2 linked regions of the Mytilus edulis genome follow. The protein of the gene in region 1 purifies or fractionates together with the protein of each later gene. This does not show direct contact. Links are inferred from orthologs where the notes say so. Each region holds a gene or a part of one and is shown in the gene's direction. Other genes may lie near its edges.

What was found. Proteins that work in one complex are often made in the same cells at the same time.
Region 2: the proteins of anillin-like (region 1) and septin-7-like purify together in Drosophila melanogaster (affinity purification with western blotting; 3 studies listed by BioGRID, with this or other methods). This does not show direct contact. The link is inferred for Mytilus edulis from reciprocal best matches to the Drosophila melanogaster genes scra and pnut.

Annotation. Positions count from the first base shown.
Region 1 is NC_092348.1:40,060,500-40,068,953, reverse strand, and holds the start of anillin-like, read left to right. Parts: upstream 1-4,572; 5' UTR 4,573-4,697; coding exon 4,698-4,715; intron 4,716-5,951; coding exon 5,952-6,099; intron 6,100-6,807; coding exon 6,808-6,936; intron 6,937-7,460; coding exon 7,461-7,635; intron 7,636-8,454. Other genes in the region: acyloxyacyl hydrolase-like, read right to left, coding at 536-627, 1,361-1,460, 2,903-3,059, 4,359-4,479. UniProt on the Drosophila melanogaster protein: Required for cytokinesis. Essential for the structural integrity of the cleavage furrow and for completion of cleavage furrow ingression and proper formation of the midbody.
Region 2 is NC_092348.1:93,783,909-93,792,212, reverse strand, and holds the start of septin-7-like, read left to right. Parts: upstream 1-4,459; 5' UTR 4,460-5,262; coding exon 5,263-5,592; intron 5,593-8,304. UniProt on the Drosophila melanogaster protein: Involved in cytokinesis and possibly cellularization. Also acts as an enhancer of the sina gene, thus having a role in photoreceptor development. May be involved in p53-dependent apoptosis.

The DNA of each region.
Region 1 (8,454 bases):
CTCTTCTAAAGCACCTGAATTGACTTCAATTTTAATCAATTGGCTTTCTATCACTCTATTTTTTATTTTTTGTGTTGTATTTCTTTAGTGTTCTGTTATTTTCTTGTTCTTTTGACCACTATTAAAATGTGCTGCTTCATTTTAATGACTTGCGTTTTTTTACTGCAGACTTTGTATCTGCAACCTTTTTTGTACTTTCCATTAGGTTGAAGGCCATGGGTTTTAAATGAGAGCAGTTTATTTTTATGTTGGTTTCTACCGCATTGTACTGGACAATTGATATCACACTAAAACAATTATAGTTGAAATATAAAACAAATTACAGGTTTGAAACATATAATAATAATTGAGATTCAAACCGGGGATAAATTGCTGATTGATTAATAAAAGTAACATCATATTGCATTACAGACATAAAGTATTTAGTTCCTGCTTAAATTGTGGCACCCACTGTGTTGCTCTTCAGATGCAAAAATGTGTTCCATGTAATTTTTGTGATTGGCCATATTGACCAGGTAAATTGATAACTTCTTACTTGTCTATGAGTTTACAAATCTCTTTAATTCCAGGCAGTTCACATATGTTAGGAGCTGCCCTCTTCCTTCTTGCATTGAATACTCGGCTAACCTATATGGGAAAACAATCTATATACTATAAATTCAGAAATTATTGGGATGTTTATACTAATGAGAATAATGCGACTAGATGCCTTATGCAATAGTAAGAAGTGGCATTATGATATCATATGCATATGTCTGTACTCTGAAAAAAGTAAAAACACAAAAATACTGAACTCCGAGGAATATTCAAAAAGGAAAGTCCAAAATCAAAGTCCAAACACATCAAACGAATGGATAACAACTGTCATATTCCTGACTTGGTACAGGCATTTTCTAATGTAGAAAATGGTGGATTGAACCTGGTTTTATAGCTAGCTAAACCTCTCACTTGTATGACAGTCACTGAAGGCAACTTTTCATGAATCACAATAATTAATCTTGCATTTTCATTCATTTATAAAAAAAAAATGGCAATAGTAAATGCATGCAATTAGTCATAAAGGTGGATTATTGCATGTGAGGTAAGTATTTTAGGTCATAATAAACAAGACTTTCTAAATTATTTTTTTAACATAATTTGATCATTTGAAACACTTTCTTAAATACGTCATCATTTCTTGCTTAAAATTTTTTAAATCGTAAACAGAGTTTTTTTTCACTGATTGAAATACTTCATATAGTTTCTTGAAATTAGATCAAAGCATTCTTAATCTTTTACACATTATGTGAATATACAGATAGACAATGATTAATAAACATAAAACATCATGTCTATGAAGGGCATTATTGAAATAACATACCTTTGGTTTTGGAAACAGGTGGCACTGTTCTTCTCCTGTATCAGTGAAGCAAAAACCAAGTCCTTGACAGGCTTCATCTGGATTGTATTTTGCTGGTAATCTAAAAATAAGATAACAATAAATTTAGAGTTTATCAATTACCTACATGCCAAATAATTTTGTTTTACAAAATTAGTATAAGGGACAGGGATAAGTACCAATACCATAGGCGGATCCAGGGGGCCCTGATGCCCCCCCCCCCCCCATTGTGGGAAAAATTTGGTTGGTTATATAGGGAATTACTGAAGCATGACTGGAGCAGGCCCTCCCTTATGAAAAGTTCTGGATCCGTCACTGAATACATGTACTATGGAACAAAAAAATCTTCAAAGAATAAACAATGAGTCTACAAAACATACACTCTTTGTGCAACCTGACTAAATTACATGTCAAACAATTTGAAAACTCAAAATTGAAATACAAAGGTTTTCCTACTACCTATAAGGTGTAAATGACCTAGCTTAGTTAGATTTGACAAACTTTAAAAAAAAAAAAAAAAAAAAAAAAAAAAAAGGTTTATAATGGCCTTCAACTTTGTAATTAGGTTAACCTTCTAAATATTTGGTTCAAGTGCCACTATTAGAGATTATATAGACCAGATGCATATCTGGCATACTAGTTTATAAGCCTGGTTTCTTTGATGATATTTTCTCATGAATAATGTCCTCTCTGTAAATCCTGTCACTAGTTACATGGCAATAACAAACATCAGGAGCCTGTAATTCAGTGGTTGTAGTTTGTTTATGTGTTACATATTTGTTTTTCGTTCATTTGTTTACATAAATAAGGCCGTTAGTTTTCTCGTTTGAATTGTTTTACATTGTCTTATCGGGGCCTATAATAGCTGACTATGCGGTATGGGCTTTGCTCATTGTTGAAGGCCGTACAGTGACCTATAGTTGTTAATGTCTGTGTCATTTTGGTCTTTTGTGGATAGTTGTCTCATCGGCAATCATACCACATCTTCTTTTTTATATCTATTTGACCACAAAGCACAGAATATTATGGGGACGAAGTCCCCAATAACAGTAGAAAATTCAATAAAAAAAAAAATTAGGAAAATTTCCCGAATTTTTCATTGTACTAATGAACTCAAAATCGTTCAATTTTTTTTATGTCATGTTTTGAAATCCCGGACCTGCGCAGAAATGTACAATGTACTTCCTTTTTCCGGTCTCGTTTGTATGAAACTTTGAGTAAAATATATATTTATCAGTCTAGTATAAAATAGGAAGGAATGCGCAATACCAATTTCATTTTTAATAATTCCTTGATATGAAAAAATGTTACCTGATGATAGCGTTTCTTTGTTTACATTGCATATGACGTCATGACTTAAATAACGTCACAACTAAAATCCCTAACAAAAGAACCAAAATCGGAAACGTTACGGTATTTCCGTTTCTTTTTCTTAACAAATATATAAATGTAAGTTACAAAAAAATAATTCATACAGACTTCGTCCCCATTTACAGGTAATGCCTGCCTCATATTAATACTTACACACGTATAATCTCATATGCAATGTAGTCTACAAATACTTTACATGGTATTGCAACTGCAGGTGGTAAATAATTGCAGAACCTTTCTAAAGATTTTGTTACTGTTTCATTGTGTATAGTTGCTAGTTGTTCTCCAAATGTAAAAATAACAGTACATGCTGAAAAAAGAACATTTTCATTTTTAAACACATTTAGCTTTACATTTTCATTGTACATCTAACGTCCCCAATCTAGAAAGACAAATTCAAAACACATCGATCTTTTGATTTACTACTTGATGTTAAGCAAGAAATAATAAACCAATCCATCTTCTGTATTTGTACAAGTCTACAGAGATGTTCAGAAAAAAAGAAAAAAAATCACTTTAAGTTTATGTCAATGACTGTCTGACACTAAGATAAATTCAAATACCTTATTTCTGACATATACTTTTATATATATGTGAAATAATTAAATAAGATTGCAAACATGTGAACAATAATCAAGACAACCATTTCTAACAATTGTTCCAAAATAGTCAAATCTTAAAAGTTAGTGTTTGACGATACCTTCTTTCCTTTGATTTTTTTGTTTCAGTAATAAGAGTCTAAGACCTAATTAGACCTTTTTATATGTAGGGTCTTTCTTCATCTTAAAATGCTTATTCTAAATTTTTGCCTTGGCTCCTTCCTGTGACAATAAGGGATAAAAAATAAAAATCGAAAAATACCTTTTAGCAGACAGCATCATTATTATGGGGATGAAGTCCCCTATAACGGTTGAAAAATAATTAAAAAAAAAAAAAAAAAAATCGGGAAAATTTCCCAAATTTTTCATTCTACTTATGAACTCGAAATTGTTAACTTTTTTTTCAGTTTTTTTCAAATCCCTGCATCTGCGCAGAAATCTACTTCCGATTCCGGTCTTGTTTGCATGAGACTTTGAATAAAATATATATTTATCAGTCTAAAAAAGGAAATCAATACTTATTTTTTTTTTTTAATTTGTTTGTTATAAAAAAAACGTTACTTGATGACAGCGTTTCTTTGTTTACATTGAATATGACTTCATAACTTAAATAACGTCACAACTAAAATCCCTAACAACAAAACCTAAATTACGATATTTCCCTTTCTGTTTTTAAAACATTTGTGAATTAAAAAACAATCATACAGACTTTGTCCCCATTCACAGGTAATGCCTGACTATTATTAGGACTACTATTATGTGTGCAAACAACTAGTATAACAAATATTTGTTTTGTCATCAGTATACCATGTAAAATAGAATAAAATAAAGTATATTGAAGAGTTAACAAATAAGTTAATTCTATCAGTTTACAAAAGTACTAAAACAGACTTTGTCCTCTATCAGATAATAGCTGTCTAGACAGATATGTAACTGCTGTAGTAAAATAATCTGACCCACTGTGCAATACTATATCATAAATGAGTATCTAATTATCAATTGAAACTTACTGGCACAGTTGGTACCACCATTCGCGCCGAAATTTAGAAAGTTTCTCGATCTAGATGCTTCTGAACCATATAAGCATATAACAAAAACAAGGACAACGGCAACTGCTTTCCCAAGTGACATTTCTTTGGATTTTTTTAACACCTTCTGCAAAGTCACATGACCACCACGTGACACCAATTTCAAAGATCACTTACGAAAACGCATTGTAGATCGAGATCAAAATATTTGAATTTTCTCGCAGATGTTCGAGATTTCACGTTGTTTTGTACCGCCAAATTTGAATTGGAATGGCTAATGTTACCGAAAATATTTGAACATAAACAGAATTTGTATTTATAATGGACCCGTATACAGAGGTAAGTAAAAACTACAGAACTGAAAAGTAATGAAATTTGTATTGTCTTAGTTGTGAACATCACACAACTCACCAAATGAAAAATATTGACCAGACGAGGCGTTGTTTTGAATATTTGATCATATTTGCATTGTTGAAAATTCAAAATAAATAACATGTGCATGGTTGGATCTAGCTATTTTTAAAAGTGGGGTTCCAACCCAGGAGGAAGGATGAGAGGGTGGGGGTTCAATCATATGTCCCTATTATTATTAAAATCCATTGATCATCCAAAAAAAGGGGGGTGTCCACCTGGAAACCCTCCCCTCCCGCTGGATCTGCCACTGATGAGTATGATTTGTCTGTAAACATGATAAGTCAAACTTATTTCAAATTCCACCTAATAACGAATGCCAGAATTTAATCTTAAATTTGAATAACCTTATAGTTATATGGACTGGAGGGGTGTTCATTTAATAGTAGACAAATTACTCGTCATTAGTCATCACTCACTCTTTAGTCTAGACAAGTTTAGTAGATTTACAGGGGGTCTGTCTTATCCAGCTTATATCATTGTAATGATTACGCTTGTAATTTCAAGTTTCGTGCTTGACATGTTTTCTGTGTCAATGCTTTCAAACAATCTGTCAATCCTGCATCATGCTATATGCTATTGTTGTGATCCCGAGTATAACTCAAGACCGATATATACCTTGGATGGTCGTTCCTGCAGTCAGGAACGGCCGATTGCTGTTCTAGTGAATTCGTCTGCTGTATAGCCATTAATAGTTTCAACCGGAAGAGAATGGTTTCTGGGTAGTCCTTCGGACATCTCTAGATGGTCTGTCTGATGACCTAAAACTAACCCTCCGGATACTACACTATATTTTTTTATAGACTCCTATCAGACTCACTTAACTTTGCTTTCAGGATTTGGAGGTCTGGCACCTTTTTTGTGTGCCCAATCCATGTAGAATCACTTTCATCTACATGTACATAATTTTTTTGAGACCTTTGAAGAATCAGGATTTGTCTCTATAAATGATAGCCAAAAATGAAGGTTTGATGCTTGACGAGAAAGGCCATTACTACCCTCTTAATTGGTGCTTTCTCTCCAAATGAATAACATCTAGAATTGGTATCTTGTAATATGTTTTAACAATAAATGAATATGTCTGTTTAATTTTGATGCTTCACAACAGAAAATAATGTTAAAGCTTGAAACTATTAATTAAGGTAAACTTATTTCTTCTTTCAGCAACTTCTAGAGAGGACGAGACAGAGAAGAGAGATGTTGAATCAGAAAATGGGGAAAACCCCTGAAGTAACACCTAGAAAAAGATTCCTGCAGGATAATACCACAGACAATTTACCACAATCTGATACTAAAACTCTCATGAAAGAAGGTATTTAAATTGTTATATGATACAAGTAGTATTGGTAGTTAAATATTTTAACTCATGTACAAGTATGTCATGCAAATATACACAAAAAACCTACATGCTTGTTTTCTTTCTACTGGCTGCAGATGAATAGGATAGGTTGGTACATAGTAGGTAAAATGTTTTCTTTTCTTCAATAATTTGCGTTTGAAATATTGGGAAATTTCAAATGTTTTGGGCGTAACCAAAAATGTACATAAAATTTGTCTGGGAAGTAAGGAGACATATCAAGCAGAAACAGAACTATAAGTTAACATGTATAGTTTTAAGGGAAACCAATTTGCAGTTTTTAATAGATGTACATATATATCTTGACATATGCATATCTAGAAAACTGGGTTAAAGATATGAATATATTTCATGGTATCTGGCCAAATTAATTTTGACTTTACTGTCACAGTGTTTTAAAGTGACATGCTGAATCACTGTGTCTACATGTATATGTCATTGTAGTGGTCATTTCAGTTCACTCTGTTTAACTGTCATGGAGATTTGTAGGGAATTGCAGAATCACTTTGTAATGTACAAAGGAAAACAAGAAGGTAGATAAATAGAATATTTAAATTGTATGAAACTTTGTACTTTTAAATATGCAAAAGAATTTATAATTGGGTTAATGTTGTGTTACAAATTTTTAATACCACTATTTCACAGTAACCATATTTTTTTCAGCATCCCCTGGCAAGAGACAGTGTGTGAGAGAAGATGAAATCAATATAAAGCCAGACACACCAGCTATTAGTAGTGTGAGATCTAGAATGCATAATTTGACACAACAGAGAACCGATTGGTCTTCAGGAGGTATGAAATAATCTTGTACACAATTTGCATTTCTTTGTAAAAATTAACATCATAAAAGTAGCTCAAAAGATAAGAAAAAAACATCAACCTGATTTGTGCAAATATTACATTATGTACATTAAATGAACAGTTATGACAGACTGCAAGTAATAACCACAGGAGTACTGTACAGATTTCTGATTTGATCAGGCCTAAATGTGGAGGAGCCAGGGTAATGCATGTTTGTGGGCACACCATGTCATAATCCCTTTTGAAATTTAGCTTCCATTCCATATTGTTTGAAGAATCGTTGCCTCTAACACAGGCAACAATAAAGATCAGCTAACGATTTTCACCCAAAAAATCTTACAGAAAAATATGTTCGACTTTAAATGTAATTAAATAGTAAAACAAATATTGGTCCAAGCCAAAAAAAAATCTATAAATGATTCCTCCCCACCCAAGATAAAAGCTAAAAAGAGTCCATCTGTTAAATTAAGAAAATGAAAGTTGTAATTAAAATGTTGGCATAATTTTGAATTTAGATGGAACAGATTCTGACAATTCACATCCTAAACCAGTTCCTAGGAAGTCTTTACAGAATTCCTTAGAGGAGGAAGTAGAACCTCCTAAAGTAGAAGGACAAAGGAGAGGGCGACTAGCTAACTTAGCCGCCACAATAAACAACTGGGAGGATGATCTTAGTCATCCCACAATTCCGTAAGTAATGATTTTATGTCTAGTGGCAGTGCTTTCAGAGAACCATATACAATTAATACAGCATTTATGCAATTCTTAGATGGTTTTCATACCTGCACTTTTAATATACATGTATTTGAATAACAAAAAATAAAGTTTTGTCTTTCCACATATTCCAGTCAAATGAAAGCAGGTCATTTATAGAATTTGACATTGATGTCATTTCTTTGATAGTTTCTGTTTTATTGAGTCAGAACTTTTTTTCTTTTTTTATAATTAAGAGCTTGATATATTGTATTGACACCATATATGTATTTGAAGACTATGTTGACCTCTTGATGTACATGTATGTTTAATAAATAATTCCTTCATGTCGTGCTCTATGCTCATTTTAACATGGGTAGGCATTATATTTGTCGATATTTTACACTGAGCGTTATCAGGGTGTAAAATGTGGTCAAATATAATGCCTACTCATGTTAAAAATAGCCTAGAGCATGACAATGAGGAATTATTTCGATTCTAATAGGACAAATATACTTTTATAAGTCGAAGCGTATGAAATTACCGTAAAAATGTTCGGCTGTTCTCATTTCCTCCTGTGCATTGCATTTCATATTTGATAAGTTTAAAAGCTACGAGCAGGGTAAATATATGTTGTTTCATAAAAAAAATATAATAAGAGTTTATGTTAGCTGCTTAAATGTATATATTTTAAAGGATAACGATGGAAATAACGTTAATATAAACAGTAAGTTTGTGCGTCAAACATATTTTGTGCTCATTAGAACACAGCTTTGTTTACAAAGCGTAATAAGGACGTCATATTAGAATGGTTAT
Region 2 (8,304 bases), about 54 Mb from region 1:
ACTAGCATGGGTAGCAATAAAATAAGTGTTCATTGAAATAAATAACACTATACATGTCTGGTTAGGTGACGTCCTATTGTTCTGCGACACCAGATAGATAGCATTTTATTTATGTTTTATGTCACTATTGTAAATAGGTAGTAATTTTTTATCACCTGGACTCTACAAGGAGTCGAGATTCCCTTCGAATACACACTGGAAGTAAATAGCTGGATGTGAATTATTGCCGAAATAAATGCTTCCTGACTGATGAATGTGCTTACTGTTTTTAGACTGTTTGATGTAAATTAAAATTTGAGGGTGTAGATTTCCTTCGAGATAAAAACGCTGTTATATACTGCTGCTTTGTGTGTAAGAGATTATAGTGTTTAGGAGTAATAGAAATGTCGCAGGTTATAGAAAATCTGCAGATTTCCGAACCAGAGGTTAGTATACATTGATAATTACATATAACAATGTTAATTAGATAAAATTGTATCAATTTCATATTTTTCTTATTAGTCATTTTCACAGTAAATCATGTTACATCTATTAAACTGATGCAGCGTTCAATGTTTCTGATAAAACTATCAGATATTCTGTTGCCAGATATTTTTTTGCCAAATCTTTTCAGAAATGTCAGAATTTTATGTTAATAGTTAGCAATTAATTACGGTTATGAGGTGATCACTTGTTTTGCATTAATGCTTTGTTTTTGTTCATTGGCTTTGTTTCGTGCTTCCTTCGGTTATTATTTTTCTTTGGTTATGATCAGAGTGTGCAATAGTACTTAAAAACTATGATTGTGTAATTAGCTGTTAATTAACAAATATATGATTTTGATGTCATATTTAAAGTCCTTTACTAGGAACCAGTTATAGACCTATGGTCAAACTTAAAGTACATGTATTATAGGATTTATAAGACAGATTATTTAGAGTAATAGAGATCTTTATTGCCATTTTTGGTGTCTTTCACAGACCCTGCACTGCAGGCATTTTTCATAAAGGAGCACAAAGATGTGAAGGCATTCTCACAGATCACCAGAAACTTGTCATTATGAGAATACATGTATTGTTGTAGTACAAAAATGTATGCAAAAAAACCCTGAATTTTTCACAAAATTTAATCTATAGCTTGATATTAGCAGAGTTGTTAATTACTGATTGGACCAGTCAGAATTTCCCCCATGATTTTTTGGTTAGCACCAGGGTAAATTTGGGAACAAAGAAATTGAGATACTTGTGATTAAAGCACCTTGGGTCAGAAATGTGGGACAGCTTGTTAACTGTGCATTACATTTAAGGGCCTTGGTAGACTTGTTTTCTGCCAGTTTTAAGGCTGTTGGTCTCATTCTTTTAAAAGAACATAATTGTGAGTTTCACTGGAAAAATAATAGTTATGGTATGTAATGATACCTAGGCCTATTTACATGTATGTTCGGCTATTTTTGGAAGGTTTTCTTGGGCGTTTGTTCACTTTGTTAAAACACTGAAGGCTTGCACATTCTTCAAAAATCTAGATATGAATTCTACACACATAGTGAGGTATATTCAGAAGTAAAAGTTTAATAAATTTGAGCTCCACCCTGAAAAAGGCAGCTGTTTAAGATCTATCTTTGTCTAAGCTTGTCAGTAAAATCTGTCTGTTTTAGAAGCCTCATGTTTCATAATCAAAATCTGTATAGACATCTGTTACAGCATATTGCTTGTTCTGTGGATGTTTACTTCTTATCTAGAGTTTTGACTACTTATCTTCAAGTATTCCAGAATCGTGTGCACAGAATTAAAGTTGTTAATCGATGCATGATGGCAATTAAAATAGTAAGAACAACCCCTGCATCAGTCATAATGATAACTGAAAGAGTAGACATCTGTGAAGCTTTTTCTACATGTACATTGAAGGTGTAACAAGGTAGACCCAGAATTAAAAAAACAACCCCTGCGTCGGTCATAATGATAACTGAAGGAGTAGACATCTGTGAAGCTTTTTCTACATGTACATGTACATTGTAGGTGTAACAAGGTAGACCCAGAATTTTTCAAAAAGGACTAAACAAAAAGTGAAATTTCCAATATTTTTTAATTTACACGATATGAACTATTTATTTTGCTCCTGGATATCCTCTCAGAAAGCGTAGTTCTAAGTGTGCACTATAAACATGATGGAAATAAGGATGTTATCATAAACTTTAGAAAAGACAGTTTTTATAACTTCAGGAAGTATGACTTATAAAAAAGCAATATTCAACACTTTGAAGCTACTTCATTCCTTTTGATAAGTTTATAAAAAATAAATCAGGAAGGCATAGATGTAAATGACAGTTATGATATTAAGTCTGCATCAAAGAAATGTAATTTTTTGGTTGATTGGTTGCTGTTACAATCATATTTTCCACATATTTATATTTCATTCATGCCTGAAATTATAATTTACAGAGATTTTATACTATTTACTGAATAATCTGAACCTATTATTAGAAGGACAACAGACATAACTTGACCCGTACTTTGTCCCCTTTTCTTCAATGGTGAGGTGAAGCATCTAATGGAGATTTTGTTTAAAAGGTGTCTTCATTACCTATAATTCCAAATTGAAAATAAACACCGCTGAGTGAAAGCACACCTTTAACAATAAGTAATTTAAATGTAAATACCGGTAGACCTACCTGTAGTTTACAATATAATATACTAACAATTATGTTAAGTATTTCTGTAAGCGGATAAAAAAAATTATGCTGACAGAATGAGACGCATGTATAATTACTGAAGTGGAATTAAGCTCATTTATACCTTTCATTACATGTAACTAATACCACATCTTCAGATTGTCATTAGGAAATATATCTTAGTTGACATGCATTCCATCAGCCCACTAAATAACTGTCAAATCTGTCAAGTCTGGAGACATTGCAGGATATGATGACAATAAATAAAGTTTGACAGATTTTTAATTTTGAAAAAAATGTACAGTAGGCTCAATTATAATAAATATATGAAAGTGAGTAAATGATTGCAAAATGCAAGAATGTCAAGACTCCATGTTGGAGACGATACTTTGACCTATACTGGTTTACTTTTACAAAATGTGACGCCTCATTGGCACTCATACCACATCTTCTTATATCTAAGATAGTTTATATGTATTTACTCCTTTAATGTAAATGGATATTCTACATTTACCATGCTTTACCATAAAATAAGGTCAAATTGCTGAAAGACCTACTGAATCTATCATTTTGCTATAATTATAATGTTATGTTGTAAATTAAGTTCACCCAATGGGCCTAACATCCTTACAAGTGTATCTAATACACATGTAATAGCAATTAGTGAATGAAAATTCAAAAACAGGAAGCACATATTTTCTTCCTTACAATCACGAATATAAAGTTTTTGTAATCATTCAAGGTGTTGTTCTGTCTTTTAAAATAGAACAGATTCTATCTTCTTAGAATTGGACATGATTTGAATCCCAAATTTTCAAAATTTACTGCTGTCACATAAAATCTGGAACTCTCACATAAAATCAGGAAAGGTTCAAATTATTTGTAGGTCCTTGGGGGTGGATCCAGCCATTTTCAAAAGTGGGTTCCAACTAAATGTCCCCATTCAAATGCATTTATCGTCCAAAAAAAGCAAGTTTACAACCCTCTTCTGGATCCGCCACTGGTCCTATTTGAGTCGGTATGTAGTGCTTATTGTCATCTGTCAAACTTCAAGTTGTTGGTAGTTTTAATGGGAAGGAGTTGTAGTTATTTTAAACATATTGATCCAAGATTAATCTGTGATGAAGTTGTAACCAGCAAAGAACAAATCAAGATATAAACTATCTCAGATCAGTTAAACGGGTGTAGTGACCTCAATTTCATGGTTCAATGGATATAAGTATGAAGTTTGTAAACCGTAAAGGTCTGGGTTTAAATACTATTATTGTGATTGTTATACATGTATATTCAAATGTTATTGAAAAATTAACGATAGAAAAAAGATCTTTAAGTCTTTAAAGTTAGAAAAAGGGGGTAAAAATAGAACCAATCAATTAGTTGTGAAATGTAGTTGTGTGTTTAATTTGTGTGTGTGATTATGGTTGAAAGTAGAGAAAATGTGAATTCTACTACTGTGATGTTAACATCTGTCATCCTTACATCAGTCACAACAGTTGTATTAAATTCAATAAAAAAGAAATTTATGTTTAAAATAAGGACTTTCTTGAATTTAACTTAATGCAGTGTTATTCTGGTAGAAAGAGTCTTTTAGTTGTAGCTGTATCCATCTTGTATTTTTACTTGGTAAAAAGTAGATTATATAAGACTTAAATACTTCAATGAATAATTGTTTGAATATGAATAAATAAAAATTTGATTTTTTGTTTGTCGATATTAAAAGCAGATCGGGTGGTTATAAACACCTGGATATAACACAAAGAAACAGCTGTTTGTCTGTAAATATAAATCCAACAAAATATTCCATATTTATTTAGGTCCTAAGTTTTATCACAAGTGTGGGTATAAACTCACAAAATACATAAAAGTCTTGTATAAATGTTTTTTTGGCTGATCAGACAAGATTAGCATTGGATCAATGGTGCAAGGACAAATTAATTGTTGTATTTAAATGTTAATTATCAGCTCACCAAGTGTGGATCAAAATTATTGATCCTTTCTAAAGTTAGTACAATCATCTCCGCCCAATTTGGACAACAATCAGACCGTCGGAACACAACAATGATTAAAATCTGTGCTCTTTATAAATACCAGTAATTGTTTCTTTACCGTACATATTGTCACAAATAATATCCATTGTCAGGATTTAACCGTATGAAATAAAGTTGAAGATTTTTTAAAGATTTAAAAAGTCAAGATCCATTTTTTATGTTGATCAATAGTTGTATGGATATCTGATGTTTGTCTCATGTTTACACTGTGCCAGAGGAAATAACTTCTGTTTGAGGGATACACATCCTGTGTATGTAGAGAAAGTCTGTTTGTTATCAATCAGTCGTATGTGTGTATGATGTAGATTTATCTGCACTCACCAGGAGATTAAATTTCACCTCAAACTTTTAGGAGGAGGAATATTTTGGCAGTGTATAAGGTGCCTCTGTCTAAATTTTAATGACTTTTACATGTGCTAGGCGTTAATTAGACTTCACAACAGTTTGTGTGTTTTAATTTAGGATTTCCTTGATTATTGTTTGTGATCTATTTTCAACATCTGGATTGAGTATTGCTAGTGTGTTGAAGTAATTAATTTCCACTTTGATGAACTTCTGACAAACAACATGGCTGCCAGTACACCTATGACACAATCAGGCACAGGTAGAGGACCAGCTCCACCCCTTCCAGAGAAACCTCCTTCAGTGGCGGAGAGGACTAGACTTCTAAAATCAAGTTTTCGCAAGGATGATGTTGATAAACCGAAAGTTGTATGTTCAAGTCCAATAGTAGAAAGAGCAGCAACACTACCACATAGTCATGAGACAAATGGGGATAAATCTGAGACTCCTTCTCCTGCTAGTAGTGTGGGGTCCATGACTGGTGTAGGGGTTAAGGCCTCCACTCCGGACTCAGTCAAGGACTTGCCACCAAAGCCGGCAGTAAGTCCACCAGCTGTATGTATATTCGTTTGTCTTGTCTTTAACTGTGCATGTTCTCATATACATTCAGGCAAAGGGTGGGTACCAGGGTATGAAGTACATATGTATCTTCAGACTTATTTCTATTTGAATGTGCACATGTGTTTCTTTTCTCTTCTTCATATTTTCTGAAAAGAGCCAGTTTTACCTGCAGTTATTTTAATTATATACCTCCGTGTGCATTTTAATTTCACTGTGAATTCATTGTATTTTAATAATGTTTTCTTGTTTTGTTTTGTTTTTTTGGCTGCAAAGGTTTACAAATACTATATTGTCTAAAGAAAATTAGAGTATTAATACAATGTAGATTTAATCCCATTTAAATGCATTCCTTTGTTACTATCCCTAAACCACATGTTGTAGGGCAATTGAAAGGTGACTCATACCTTTTATGTCATTTAAGAATGCAATTTTATAAGTGTTCGCTAATAATATTAACTTTGCTTAAAAAAAATCATGATACACACGATCTAGGTGTAAATAATTTGATCTTAACTGTGTGCAAGATGTTTTCTAGATCTTGAGGGAAGATATATACCCAACTTTGTTTACTTATCTCAGTGGTCAGTATACAAAACCAATTACCAAGTAGCCTCAGTGTTTATAGACATCAGATAAGTGTTTATTGGTTTAAGATTATTGTTAATGGTCAATTATAAGGGCTACTGTTATCGAAAGGTGTAACTGATATACAAATCTTTGACCTTCTTCTCTCATGTATTCCAATACAGCAACATGCATGGGTCTTGATTGAATTCTTCCTTTCTGTTAAATCTTAAATCATGATTAATCAAGTTAATCTTTTCTACCTTTAGACAGTTGTAAGTTAATCTATGATGGATTTGGCCACTATCATGACCATGGACTTCACATGTGCACCATTCATTCAAGTGTTCAACTAAATATAAACTTTCTATATTTGCAGAATTTCAGCACTAATACAAATTAAAGTATCTAAGGAAACTTCTTTATCTGCAAAACCTTGTACTGAAGAACTTAGGTCTTCTTTTTTCTTTAGGAGTCCTTACCCATATACATGCAGAGCTTTACTACCAGGTGAACTATCCTTCATCCTAAACTTTACCCTAATCCTATCCCTAAACCTGACCTAGAAAATCCCTTAACCTAACTAAACTTTACCCGAATCCTATCCCTAAACCTAACCTAAAAAATCCCTTAACCTAACTAAACTTTACCCTAATCCTATCCCTAAACCTGACCTAGAAAATCCCTTAACCTAACTAAACTTTACCCGAATCCTATCCCTAAACCTAACCTAAAAAATCCCTTAACCTAACTAAACTTTACCCTAATCCTATCCCTAAACCTGACCTAGAAAATCCCTTAACTTAACTATAACCACAAATGACCTAGAAGTAAAATAAGGCCACAAAAAAAAAAAAAAAAACACTAAAAATTTCTACCAATCATTGACACCTTTGCCATCCTTCCAACATTCTCTCCCTCTCCCTCTCTCTCCATCCCTCATTTTAGTATCTCTTATCCCTGTTATATTGAAATGATTGTAGATGCCAAAATATTACCAAAATCTACTTCATTGTCAGGTTTTACAAAAGTCGTTTAATTACGTACAAACAAATGATGCTTCTCATCTTCTGGAACTACAAATGACTAAAGAAAGACAACAGTATGAGCTAACTATTGAGGTATGATGTGTGGTTGGAAACCAGTTTAGGAGTAACAGTTCCCATCATTGTGTACTTTTTATAAACCTCTTCGTCCCCAGACTTCATGATTTGTGGTTGTAAACCAGTTTGGTAGTGACAGTTTCCTATCATCATGTATAAACCCCTTCGTCCCTAGACTTACTCCAAAATTTCAGTTTAACACACACTTTGATGTCCTTATGCACATGTTTGCTATGCACTGTCTCTTTATGTTATTGTCCTTATAAGAGTCTAAATATCGTATAATATAGTATTACTTTCTATCGACTATTTGAATACTGGCCCAAGTACTGTTAGTATTCAATATGAAATATTGTTGATTGAAAAGAGGATAAAAGAGGGAATTGTTGTTATGAAAGTCTAAATATAGTATGACTTTCGATTGACTGTTTGAATACTGGCCTAAACATTAAAACAAGGATAAAGTAAGGAATTGCGTAACAGATTAGGAATTTATTGAATAAAAACTTTTGATTTGTTTGCATGGGAGTTGTATTTTGCAGACAAGAGACAATACCTGAAAGTCTAGCCCAATCTTCACTGACCTATAACAATCTTTAAGTCTGGTGTATTATTTTCCTTAATATGCATATTACTGATAATCACTTCACCAGAGTTATCATTCATTTCACTCTTTGTTTTACAACCTCAGGTAAACTCTTACATTCCTTGCTCTACATAATATGTAAAAAAACAAATTTACTCATCAACATGATGCAATAACACATGTCTTCTTCTTTTCCAGAATTCATGTTGGATTAGGCCAAAAGTTTGATGCACACTTAATTTTAAAATTAACAAATTTCAAACTATTTTTTCATTTGATATGTACAAAAAAAATTTGTAGAAATAGAATATCATCAAGTTGTAATGAAGTAAATATCTTGAATATAAACAAAAGAAGGTCTCAAATTAGGGTATTGACTTTGATTTTGTGATTAACTAACACAGAAATATGATATCAAAAGAAGAGTTTTATGGACACAAATTGTTATACCCC